Caenorhabditis elegans: one gene and its partner. The protein of the gene in region 1 binds, or shares a complex with, the protein of each later gene. Each region holds a gene or a part of one and is shown on either strand. Other genes may lie near its edges. A codon is read from its position in the direction of its gene.

Region 1 (5,689 bases):
GGTAGCTGCCAAGTATCGGTTGTTTCGAGACCCGCTACCGTATTTGTGGTTCAAAACTAAAAATTAGGGTCCCTCATTGAATGAAAAGAAGCCTACTTTGAAAATCTTCATTCTTGCATCAATAATCTCAAACTTCAGTGATTTTTGCTTATTTTCCGGAACATCTTCCGATGATGTTGTATCTCCCATCTTAAAAAAAGATTTTTATATCTAATAATTCAAATTTATGAAAAAAAAAAGAATTTAAAATTGTAGAGCCTTGCGAAATGAACATGTTAATCACTTTTCTCAAAAATTGGAGAAAGTTTTGAATTTAAAGAAGAGTCACTATTAAACTAAACATTTAAAATAAGCACGAAAAATTCATTTACAAAAGTAAAGAAGAATCAATTGAATGTGTTCCCGCTCTTCCACCTCTCTCTCATCCTGCGTTTCTTTCTTTTCTATGACTCTATTTACGACCTAGAATATATCGATCGTCGTAGCGCGATGTAGCGGTGCATCTCAGGAAAATAACAAATAAACAACAAAATATTCATTTGAAATGAATAATGCCAGATGAGGCAAAAATATTAACAGAATAAGTATTGAATATTAAAAACCGTTGAACAGGGAGAATAAAACTAGATAAACTTAGAACTATTACCGGGACGAGGTGATATTACATGCAGGACACAAAATGTGGATAGGAAAAAATAAGAAAAATGGTACAAGTTTAAAACGAGAAGGGGAACGGGATTTCGAATTCAACATTCCTGGCTGGTGCTCTCCGACGCTTGATTGCCACGACCATCACAAGCCACCGTACCGCATTCTCCACACACATAGAAGCTGAGATTTCGACGCTTGAACTCGTCATCAGGCACTTTGTGGATTCGAACTTCAATTCCATCTGGCAGATTGGTGTGAAGTGCAGTTTGTCGCCTAAATAAAGCCAAATTAGGTTTTAATAATATTAAAGGATAAATTTCTTACGTAATATGTAGGCATCCTGTGGGAACAGTTGCCACGATCCACTTGCTTGTTGGAGATGGTCGCGACATTTCCACTTTTACTCCGTCGTAGTCGTCTGGATTGATATGAAGCATACGATTCCACCATTCTATAAGTAAAAATAAATTTCCATGTTGACCGCAAGCGAGAAATAAACTAACCTTCCAGTGGAAATTCGCTCATATCCGCACGATAAACATTTTGCACATGGATGACACAGTATTGGTGCAAGAAATGTAAAACTGGTCCGGGGAATTTAATTTGAAGCCGAGAATTGCATTCAGTGCATCGAGGATATACGTCTTCCGGACGAATATCTACGTTGAACAGGTCGAAAAACTCAATAAGCTGATCTACGGGAGACATGTTATTGAGTTCCGGAATTGCAATTGTATAATTATCATAATCCATTTTCAAGGCTTCGTAACTTTTCGATGGCACTGTGATTATATGACGTAGATGCTCGCCGCCAACTCGTTCAATTTCCTTCAGGTACTTTCGGAAGTCGCTCACGTCTTTTGGAAGAATAACATCAATTCCAACTCTCCTGAAATAAAAATTTTCAACTTTAACATTTTTTAAAGATAAACTTCAAACCTCAGATTCTTTCCAAATCCAATCAGCATTGTGTCAACAATAACTTTAATGTCGTGTGGTCGCTGTGGTGATCTCGTAGGATTACGATGGCTTCGCAAGATATCGTAGAGCTCAAGCCATGGAATAGTTTTCAGCTTGCGGTACGATTTGTGTCCTTTGTCTTTTTTCGGAGCCATTACATTTGATTCTCTGACAATCTTCTCGATATCTGCGTCCTTGTTTTTCTCCTCTACAATCGACAAGATTTTCTTGAATGTTTCCACCACGACAACTGCGTCCAATGCTGCGTACACAATTTGTTTTTTTCGCAGAGGACGACATTGCCAGTTACTGCATTGTTCAGTTTTGTCGAGCTCCAATCCCAGTAGATAATGTGTCAAATCTGCCAATTTGAAAGTCTTCTTTGGCAGCTCTAAAATTTCCATGTCGATATCGCAAACATTCTCTGCTAATCGCTTCAGATCGAATGCATTTTTGGTATCTTCTATCTTCATGGATGACTTCAGTGCTGGGATTGTAGCCATTGCATCCAGATCGTTCCTCATATCAAATCCTACGACTTTTACAGGAGAATCTCCGAACAATCGAGATGCGAACTTTTGCCACCAGTCATCTGCCATATTTGCCTTTTCTAATTCTACGCAATCCACAAGCCATACACAATTTTTGAAGAACAATTGTATGATAGCAATTTTCGAGTCACTGAAAATCGGTGCATATGGAATTTTAAGAATGAAATTGTTCACTTACTGAACAGCTGTAAGATTCGACGGTTTCCACTCAGAATCGAATCCAACGTAAACAGGTGCTGGCTCGTCGCTTAGTGATTTGATCTCGGAACATAAGTAATTCATCTCAGATTCAGTTTTCACCATGTGGATTTGAGTTCTTCGCTCATTCTCAAATACGAATAATTGTTCGCCATTTAGAGGAACTTGCAGTGTTCTGAACAAAAATGGTTTTAAAAAAGTCGAAGAAATCGAAAACAATTACTTTCTTCTCACTAGAAGTTCTTTTGCTTCTCTGAGCTTCGAATCAGGTTGTCGAAAGAAGTCCCTCATAACATTCGGCAGTTGATAGCTGCTGGAACTAGCGATTCCTAAGTAGATAGCAAAGCAGATGGCATCTATTCTGAAAATTGAATTTTAGAAAGAAAAATCTTTTTGAATGTCACTTACTGTTTCTCGGTGTCATTTGAGCTCCACAAGTAAAACAAAATAGGTTCACGAACATCTTCGGCTTTGGTAAAAGTTTCAACCATATGCTGGAAATAGTTGTCATCGGATTTTCCCTTCTCGTATCGTTCACTGATATTAAACTTCAATGCCTTCAGATTCCCATTCTGTGAGTGGTTTTTGGCGAACTTCGACAATTCCCTGGAGAAGTTGTATTCGTGAGTATTTTTGTTGATAATCGTCGAAATGAGTTTGTCCAACGTTTTTCCCGTCAATTTCTCCATAGGAATCGTCATAATTTTGGTTTCCTTGTAGGGTTTCAGCATCTCTTCAACGGCAACCACTGAGATTCCAACCATTCGATCAAAAAACTCTACAAGCTGCTGTTGCATCCTCTCATTGTTACTTATCAATTTATAAGCCGTTTGATCTTTGCCAGATAGCATTAATGGAAGAACAAGATGTTCGAAATGATGATCCCGTAGAAGATTGTACTGAATAGCCATATCTGCAGCAACGGAGAAGTCTTGTTTCTTGATGGCAGCATCTAGCAACTGTGTAATGTCCTCAGTGAATTTCTCTTTGGTGATATCGAAGATTTCACTGAGAAGCTGCTTTTGTCCAATTGTGCACACATCTAAGGCGTTTATTTGAATAGTTCCAGTCAGATATTTCTGTCTGAGCTCCGTCTCCTGTCCCGACTCTTTTAACCAAACTCCAAAATCCTCCAGATACCAAACCGCCAAACTTTGTCCCGATGTTTTTCCTCTATCCGGCATCGCTTTCATCATATCCACAGCCATTCCGTAGATGTTGACTCCTTTAAATGTATAGATTATGAATGAGGGTTTTTTAAAGTTTTTAATAATAAAAGAACTTTAAAATGTTTACCTGATCTATAGTCCTCGTTGAAAAATTCTCGATTTTTGGCTCGAACTTTTCTCTCCCGCTCAGACTCGGGTCCATTCATAATTGCTTTCAGAACTTCCCGGCGTGACTTCAACGGTTCGGCGTAGTCTGTTCGATATTTTGCCTTTTTCTCGGCTTTCGTTAGCTTTCTTTTGTACGGTTCTTCTTCCATTTTCGAAACGGACAAGCTTGATTCTGTAAAAAGTATAAATAAATATTTGTCGAAAAGTTAGTACAAAAGAAATTAATCAAAGAACAAGGAAAACGTGTTTCCCCACGAGAATTCGTATTACGGAGAGGAAAATCTAGAAACGGCCCAAAAACCGAAAGAACAACAGAAAAGCGTTGTGGATTATTCGATATCCAGCACTTTTTGCACAAATTGAGGCAAAAATAATGGAAAAAGAACCAAGAAATCAATGAACAAAATGGAAAATGAATTTTTAAAAAATTGTCGATGGTATTTAAGATGTGCAGGTTAGCGAATAGTACTGTATCACGGCGGCGATTCAAATGATCTACGAAGCAATTACACGAGGAAAATTAATGGAGATTATGGAGCAAATTGAGGGAATTAATTATAGTATAAAAGTTTCGAAAAGGAAAATTATTATTTATTATCCTATTTAGTTCGCCACACAATGGGAGATTTTAGATGCGTAAATAGTTGAGAGTAGAAAGTAAACTGACTGACTCAAAAAATATGTTTAAAATGTTTATTCGAGATTGAGAAAATAAATTAAATTTCACGAAACCTTTTAAATACATAAGTAAAAAAATGTTTTGTTTTTAAATTTGCCACTATCAAAACTGTCTAACTCTCTAACTCTTATCTTCTCTGCGTAACGATAGAGCGCGTTTACATCATTATTTTTTCATTAAATTTTTTCTATAAATATTTCTTCTTTCTACGACAAACGTTCTCCATTATTGTTTTTGCAGACTTTTTCCATCTAACATGGTTCAAGAAAGCATTATTTCATCTTTCCGTGGAAAACTTGAAAACGATCCAAGCAAATCAACGAGTCTAGCCACAGTGGAAACACTGCTCGAGGTTTTAGACCGGAGTCGCGGTAAGTTCCTGAATTTGAATATTTAGGCAATTAATTTTTTGCTTAATTACAGCCACCACCGTTGCCGAATTTCAAAATGAGCTAAATCAAGTAGTTGCTGCTCTCGAGAAAACGGACTACAGCTCAACATCAATTCGAAGTGCCGCTGATTTGTTCACCAGATTCACTTCTCTGGCTCCAGCTGCTCTTCTCGATCAAGAAGATTTTTCTCAAGTTCTTGATCTGTATCGCCAACGAGCACGCTCATTTATAAAGAATGTCAGAGGTTCTCGAGCCAAAATTTCCAAGTGCGCTCGTCTATTTTTCACTCATCATATGGTACGTTTTTTTTTCTATTTAAATAATTCCTATTTAATGTATTTTAATCTTTGTATTTTCTAGAATATTCTGACACACTCATACAGCAAAGTGGTTCTGGAAACTATTCTTGATGCTCACAAAAGTGGATATCACCTTCATGTCTGGGTCACCGAATCGCAACCGGATGCTTCAGGAAAACTAGTGTTTGAAGAATTGAAAAAGAATGGAGTTCCAACTACTTTAGTTCTAGATAGCTGTGTGGGGTGAGTGGAAATTATAAAAAACAATAAGAAAAACGTATATACATTTTTTATTTTTTAAGATATGTCATGGAAAGAATTCAAGCAGTTCTAGTTGGCGCTGAAGGAGTCATGGAAACCGGTGGAATCATCAATAAAATTGGAACTGTTAATGTTTGTATCATCGCAAAATCACGGCATGTTCCCGTCTATGTTTGCGCTGAAACTATCAAGTTTGTACGGGAGTTCCCACTCAACCAGGCCGATATTCCCCAAGAATTCAAAGTAATCAATTTATATCAAATAACTCAATCAGATCTTTCATTATTTCAGTATCGAACATCAGTAATTGAGAGAAACAACCTAGAATTGGAGCATCCCGATGTGGATTACACCGCACCCG
Region 2 (4,766 bases), on another chromosome or scaffold:
GTAAACGCCAAGAAATATTCGAGAAAGTATTTCAAGACGCTGAATCTGGACAAAAAGCAGTTGAGAATGTGATGAGTGATTATCGGGAGTCAAGAAATGCAATCAAAGTGCAGTTATATACCGATTCAAATGATTTTATTCAAACACAACAAATTGAAAAATCGGTGAGTTTATGGTTTCTGTTTTACGATTTGTTTTATGATTTATTAGTATATTTGGATACAGTGTATATTAAATATTTTATTCAATTTTTTTTAGACTTTCAAAAAAGTGGATCAAGGCTAAAACAAAATTGATTTTTTTTCCAGCATTTCAACGCTGCTGGAGACCGACTTCGTTCTTCTGAAATTCAATTATCAAAACTAGAGTCAGAATTGAAAAAGACAAAACAGGTAAGAATATATTTTTATGTTTATAGAACCTAGGGAAATACCCTGAACTTACAAGAAACTTATTTAATTATTGTATATAATTAAGCTAAAACTTTCAGATACGCGAAGAATATTATCAAGATTCCATGCAAAGTTGGTTTTCACGATTCTGGAAATATCTATATTGAAAATATTTCGTATTGTCACTATTGAATGAAATTTTAGCAAAAGCATAACAAAATTGAAGTTAACATATACAATCCAGTTTTGAACTTCCGCCAAAAACGGAAAATGCGTCAAGAAAGCTTGCTGGCGCTTTGAAGGATGGCGCAGAACCCGTTTTTCTTCTAGATTTTTAAACACAATTTTGTTTTCTTTCACTTCTTTTCCCACTAAAAACGATCAAAATGGCTGATATGGCTAAATTCGAAGAAGAAGTTAACAAGCTCAGAACTCTTGAAAAAGGTTAGTAACTGTTAATTTAAACAATCTTTTCAATCGTTTAATTATAGACCGCGAAAAGTACTTCACGAGTCGCCAAGAGATGGAAATGAGATTAACTGAGAGTAAAAATGTGAAAGCGGTAAGAAAAAGTTTGAGATTCAGTTTTCATGTTATCTTCATTCAGGAGCTTGATCTGATGGAATCCGACTCGAAAGTCTACAAACTCATCGGAGCGGTTCTTGTTCGTCAAGATTTGGAGGAGGCTCGATCGACTGTGGAGAAACGGCTTGAGTTTATCGACTCTGAGACGTGAGTTGTAACGTTTATCATGTTTCTTTAGTATTACTTCTTGCACGCTATTGATTTACACGAAACAAATAAAAATAACAAATAAATTTTACCTTTAAACGTTTTAAAATGCAACAAAACTTTAATTACAATTTTCAGCAAACGAGTGGAAGCCAGCATCTCAGACATTTCGAAGAAGTGTACGGAACAGCGAGACAAGGTGATGAATATGCAAAAAAGCTTCCAGATGATGGCTCAAGCAGCAGCCCAAGCACAGAAGAAATAATCCAGTTTGTTCTATGAATCTCATATTTTTTGCTCTTAATTTGTTATTTTTTGCCTATTCTTCATCTCTGGTGTTTCTCCGAAACGAGAAGATCACATTAATTTTTCTATGAAAAAAATAAGTTTCTTGTTTCGGGGAACCATTTACAATAAATGCTTTCAAACTGTTTTATACCATTTGTGCTCACGTCTATGTTAAAAGTCATTGCTAATTACATCAGTTCTGATTTATAACTATATTCATTTTCTTGCTATTCAGATGCATAATGGGTACCATTCTTATTTTCCTCCAAATCACTATTATGCTCAAAGTCAGCCATCATCGTCGTATAATCCCCAACCACAAATTCAACAACCGCAAACCCAAATATATGGATTGGTAGTTGGTTACAATAAATATGGAAACAGAAATTATCTTTTCTATACCAAAAATATCGATGGATTTGTCGAAATCAGTGGAAATATTCAGAGCCTGCAGATAGGACGCTGGCTAAAGTTAGACATTATTTTATCTGATTTTATTAACTAGCAATTTTAGATTAACTGTTTGTCAGAACTTCGTGGGACAATACGTATTGGATTCCTCAAATAGTTGTGGATATGAAAACTGGGACGTTTTGCCGAATCACAGAAATTCATCGGCGAGATTCTTTCCGAAGTATGAGGCTAACGATGAAGGAGAAATTTTGGTAATCTCAAATGGAAAAAGTTTTAATAAATAAAGAGTACGGATTTTTATAATTTTTCAGATAACAGCTCGATTTGATGTAATAGTAGATCGGAAAAATAATTTGTATGATTTCACCAGTTACGATATTTCCTATGATCATATTATTGACGACTTTAGTCTGATCAAATCATCATGTCAACACTATGATGGACGCAGTTTTATTGTTGAAGTAAGTTATCGATTTTAAAAAAAACTATTAAAATAAAAATATTGCAGGCTCAAGCATCTCTGGCAGGTTGGGTCGCATTGAGTGTGCATGAAGATCCACAAAAGCTACACACCTGTGATGCTGTAAGCCGAAATGGATATCAATCAGTATGTGGCAAAAGTGTCCTGGTTCATTTTGAATTGTTCACATTTTGGTTTTTGCTTATCAAAATTTCCCAGAACATATAAGCCACAACCTCCTGCAGTTTACATAATATAATTTCAGCTCCCGAATCCAGTCGTTGATTCTGATGTACAGTATCTTCATGATACAAGACTGTTGGATGTATGTGACTTATAGTTCAGAATTTTTCAAGTAATCACATTTTTAGATTATGACTGGTAATGGATATGTTCAAACACCCGAAACCGACGTACAAGATCAACAATCAAGTCAACATCAAGAAGACGTGCATTCTCAAATGAACTCGCAGACATCTGATTCGTACAATTCCTCTAGAGTTGTGTCAGAGAATCGGGAAATACCTCCGGAAACTTTTCGAAGCCAAAGTATCGAATTGAATCAAGTTGATTCATCCTTGTCCCAGACTACAATCTCAAGTCGAGCAGCACCAGTTATTGATTCAAATCAGTTATCAGATGAAGATGAAATTGATGATGAAGATACATACGGAACACGTGGAACATCTAATATTCCGATGAGACCGTTTATTAAAGATTTAGCTCCAACGATGCTTCAACTGCTTCGTCAAGATAAAACTGATTCCGAAAAAGTACGTAATGCCAGAACAATAATATTAATCTTCATCACCATATTTCAGCCTCAATCTGCTTTATGCACCGTTGTGCAAAAAATCGATGGCTTTGCAATTTTGTACACAGCCAAAAGAGACGTTATAAACGTTTTGCTTCAAGAAAGATCGTGTGAAGGATTGGAAAGATCCCCTCAACTCGGAGACGTGGCATTCTTCGATATCTTGCCTCGTAGAATTGAAACAAAAGATAGGCTCATTTTCAAGATTCCATATACACATATTGCAGGTATTTTACAATTTACCAATGTTTTAAAAAAACTTTAATTTTAAGTGAAAAAGAAACCAGACACGCCAGATTCTCTCCTTAAAATTGATTGCTTTAAAAACTCGGTCAGATGCTTCGGAGGAGTGCTTGAAATGAAAGTAAAAATCGCACTTTCAAAACCTGAACTAGTAGTGGAGCAATATCATGACAACACAGAGATGAACTCGGATCATCATTTTTATTATTTGAAAGCAACAAATGGAGTACTTGTCACAATTCCAAAAGAACGTCTTCTGAATCATTTGAATTCGAAATTATCAGCAGATTTTGACCTAATCGCGTGGGTTGTTCATCGAAAACCAATTGGAAATGTTTCATTACATATTGGAAAGGGAGGTGAAGCTTATCAACAGTTCACAAATGGAGATATTCGAGAGCTTCCGCCATTGTCTTCTAATCAATATTTCATGAATGGTAAGTAAGAGGGAAACCGAGTTTTCGAAGAAACCTAGGAGAATTCTTGGTTTTCTATTCAAATTATTATTTCAGTTCGAAAGTAAAAACTGCACAATCGACAAATCACGTTATGGGTTCAAATTGTATTCTGGTACATTAATTCTTGTTCTTGTGTTAACTTTTTTGATTATTTTTTGTATCATTTTACTGATTAAAGCATTTATTTTCACATGTTTATTGTTTATTTCTCGTTGTCTAGCGTTTTCATCGTTTGAAATATATTGCATATTGGTTATTTTTTGCCCATTTTTCAATATTTTAGTATGGCTTCCTCTTTGGTTAAAACCGCTTTGCGTCTTGCTTACCGTAATCCAGTTAGGTCAGGGTTACTGTAGGCAAGGTGTCTTTATCGATTCCACCATTTTTCAGGTTTACAAAGAGAAACATGTCGGAAGTAGATAAAGCCCACTTGGCGGCAATTAACAAAGATGTTCAAGCCAACGACACTCTTTTCGGAAAAATAATTCGAAAAGAGATTCCAGCGAAAATCATTTTTGAAGATGATGAGGTATGTAAGATCAGGCAAACGATCACATAAAATATTTATTTAAGGCTCTCGCATTCCATGATGTCTCTCCACAAGCTCCAATTCATTTTCTTGTGATCCCTAAGCGTCGCATTGATATGCTCGAGAATGCCGTTGATTCGGATGCTGCGCTTATTGGAAAGCTTATGGTTACTGCTTCAAAGGTAATTATAAATGAGTAAAAACGAATTTGAAAATCCAGAAATCTCCATTATATTACTCTTAAATAAAATTCCAGGTTGCAAAGCAGCTCGGCATGGCCAATGGATACCGTGTTGTTGTGAACAATGGAAAAGATGGAGCTCAATCAGTTTTCCATCTTCATCTCCACGTTTTGGGAGGACGTCAGCTCCAATGGCCACCTGGATAAATATTGCATTGCTTACATTCTGCCACTAATTCATTATCAGTCTTGTAA

What was found.
Region 2: the proteins of mut-7 (region 1) and rde-2 are in contact, whole or in part, in a crystal structure (PDB 8Q66), measured with the Caenorhabditis elegans proteins. Residues at the interface, in NP_499105.1 of Caenorhabditis elegans: Ile688 (codon at 1,521), Asp695 (codon at 1,500), Lys698 (codon at 1,491), Tyr699 (codon at 1,488), Glu702 (codon at 1,479), Ile703 (codon at 1,476), Arg705 (codon at 1,470), Val706 (codon at 1,467), Glu709 (codon at 1,458), His710 (codon at 1,455), Arg712 (codon at 1,449), Glu770 (codon at 1,275), Arg774 (codon at 1,263), Leu775 (codon at 1,260), Val795 (codon at 1,200), Tyr799 (codon at 1,188), Arg800 (codon at 1,185), Ala801 (codon at 1,182), Asp802 (codon at 1,179), Met803 (codon at 1,176), Ser831 (codon at 1,040), Arg832 (codon at 1,037), Pro833 (codon at 1,034), Ser834 (codon at 1,031), Thr836 (codon at 1,025), Ser837 (codon at 1,022), Lys838 (codon at 1,019), Trp839 (codon at 1,016), Val841 (codon at 1,010), Pro845 (codon at 998); in NP_001021399.1 of Caenorhabditis elegans: Asp320, Glu321, Asp322, Tyr324, Thr326, Arg335, Pro336, Phe337, Ile338, Asp340, Leu341, Ala342, Thr344, Val367, Gln368, Ile375, Ile384, Asn385, Thr417, Lys418, Arg420, Leu421, Ile422, Lys424, Pro426, Arg453, Cys454, Phe455, Gly456, Gly457.

What each region holds. Positions count from the first base shown.
Region 1 is NC_003281.10:9,538,510-9,544,198, forward strand, and holds mut-7 (Exonuclease mut-7), read right to left. Parts: upstream 3,872-5,689; 5' UTR 3,847-3,871; coding exon 3,657-3,846; intron 3,586-3,656; coding exon 2,769-3,585; intron 2,722-2,768; coding exon 2,584-2,721; intron 2,536-2,583; coding exon 2,341-2,535; intron 2,293-2,340; coding exon 1,591-2,292; intron 1,541-1,590; coding exon 1,155-1,540; intron 1,103-1,154; coding exon 976-1,102; intron 925-975; coding exon 747-924; 3' UTR 522-746; downstream 1-521. Other genes in the region: ZK1098.3 (uncharacterized protein), read right to left, coding at 97-189; eif-2Balpha (Translation initiation factor eIF2B subunit alpha), read left to right, coding at 4,633-4,747, 4,800-5,065, 5,129-5,310, 5,370-5,571, 5,620-5,689. UniProt on the Caenorhabditis elegans protein: Represses the transposition of Tc1, Tc3, Tc4, and Tc5, perhaps by degrading transposon-specific messages.
Region 2 is NC_003279.8:7,279,753-7,284,518, reverse strand, and holds rde-2 (SH2 domain-containing protein), read left to right. Parts: upstream 1-1,647; coding exon 1,648-1,883; intron 1,884-1,926; coding exon 1,927-2,077; intron 2,078-2,137; coding exon 2,138-2,287; intron 2,288-2,334; coding exon 2,335-2,433; intron 2,434-2,551; coding exon 2,552-2,611; intron 2,612-2,657; coding exon 2,658-3,059; intron 3,060-3,107; coding exon 3,108-3,327; intron 3,328-3,372; coding exon 3,373-3,780; intron 3,781-3,855; coding exon 3,856-3,866; 3' UTR 3,867-3,995; downstream 3,996-4,766. Other genes in the region: F21C3.6 (DUF4200 domain-containing protein), read left to right, coding at 1-164, 309-392, 491-559; pfd-6 (putative prefoldin subunit 6), read left to right, coding at 779-836, 884-954, 1,000-1,124, 1,263-1,389; hint-1 (Histidine triad nucleotide-binding protein 1), read left to right, coding at 4,208-4,330, 4,375-4,512, 4,587-4,718.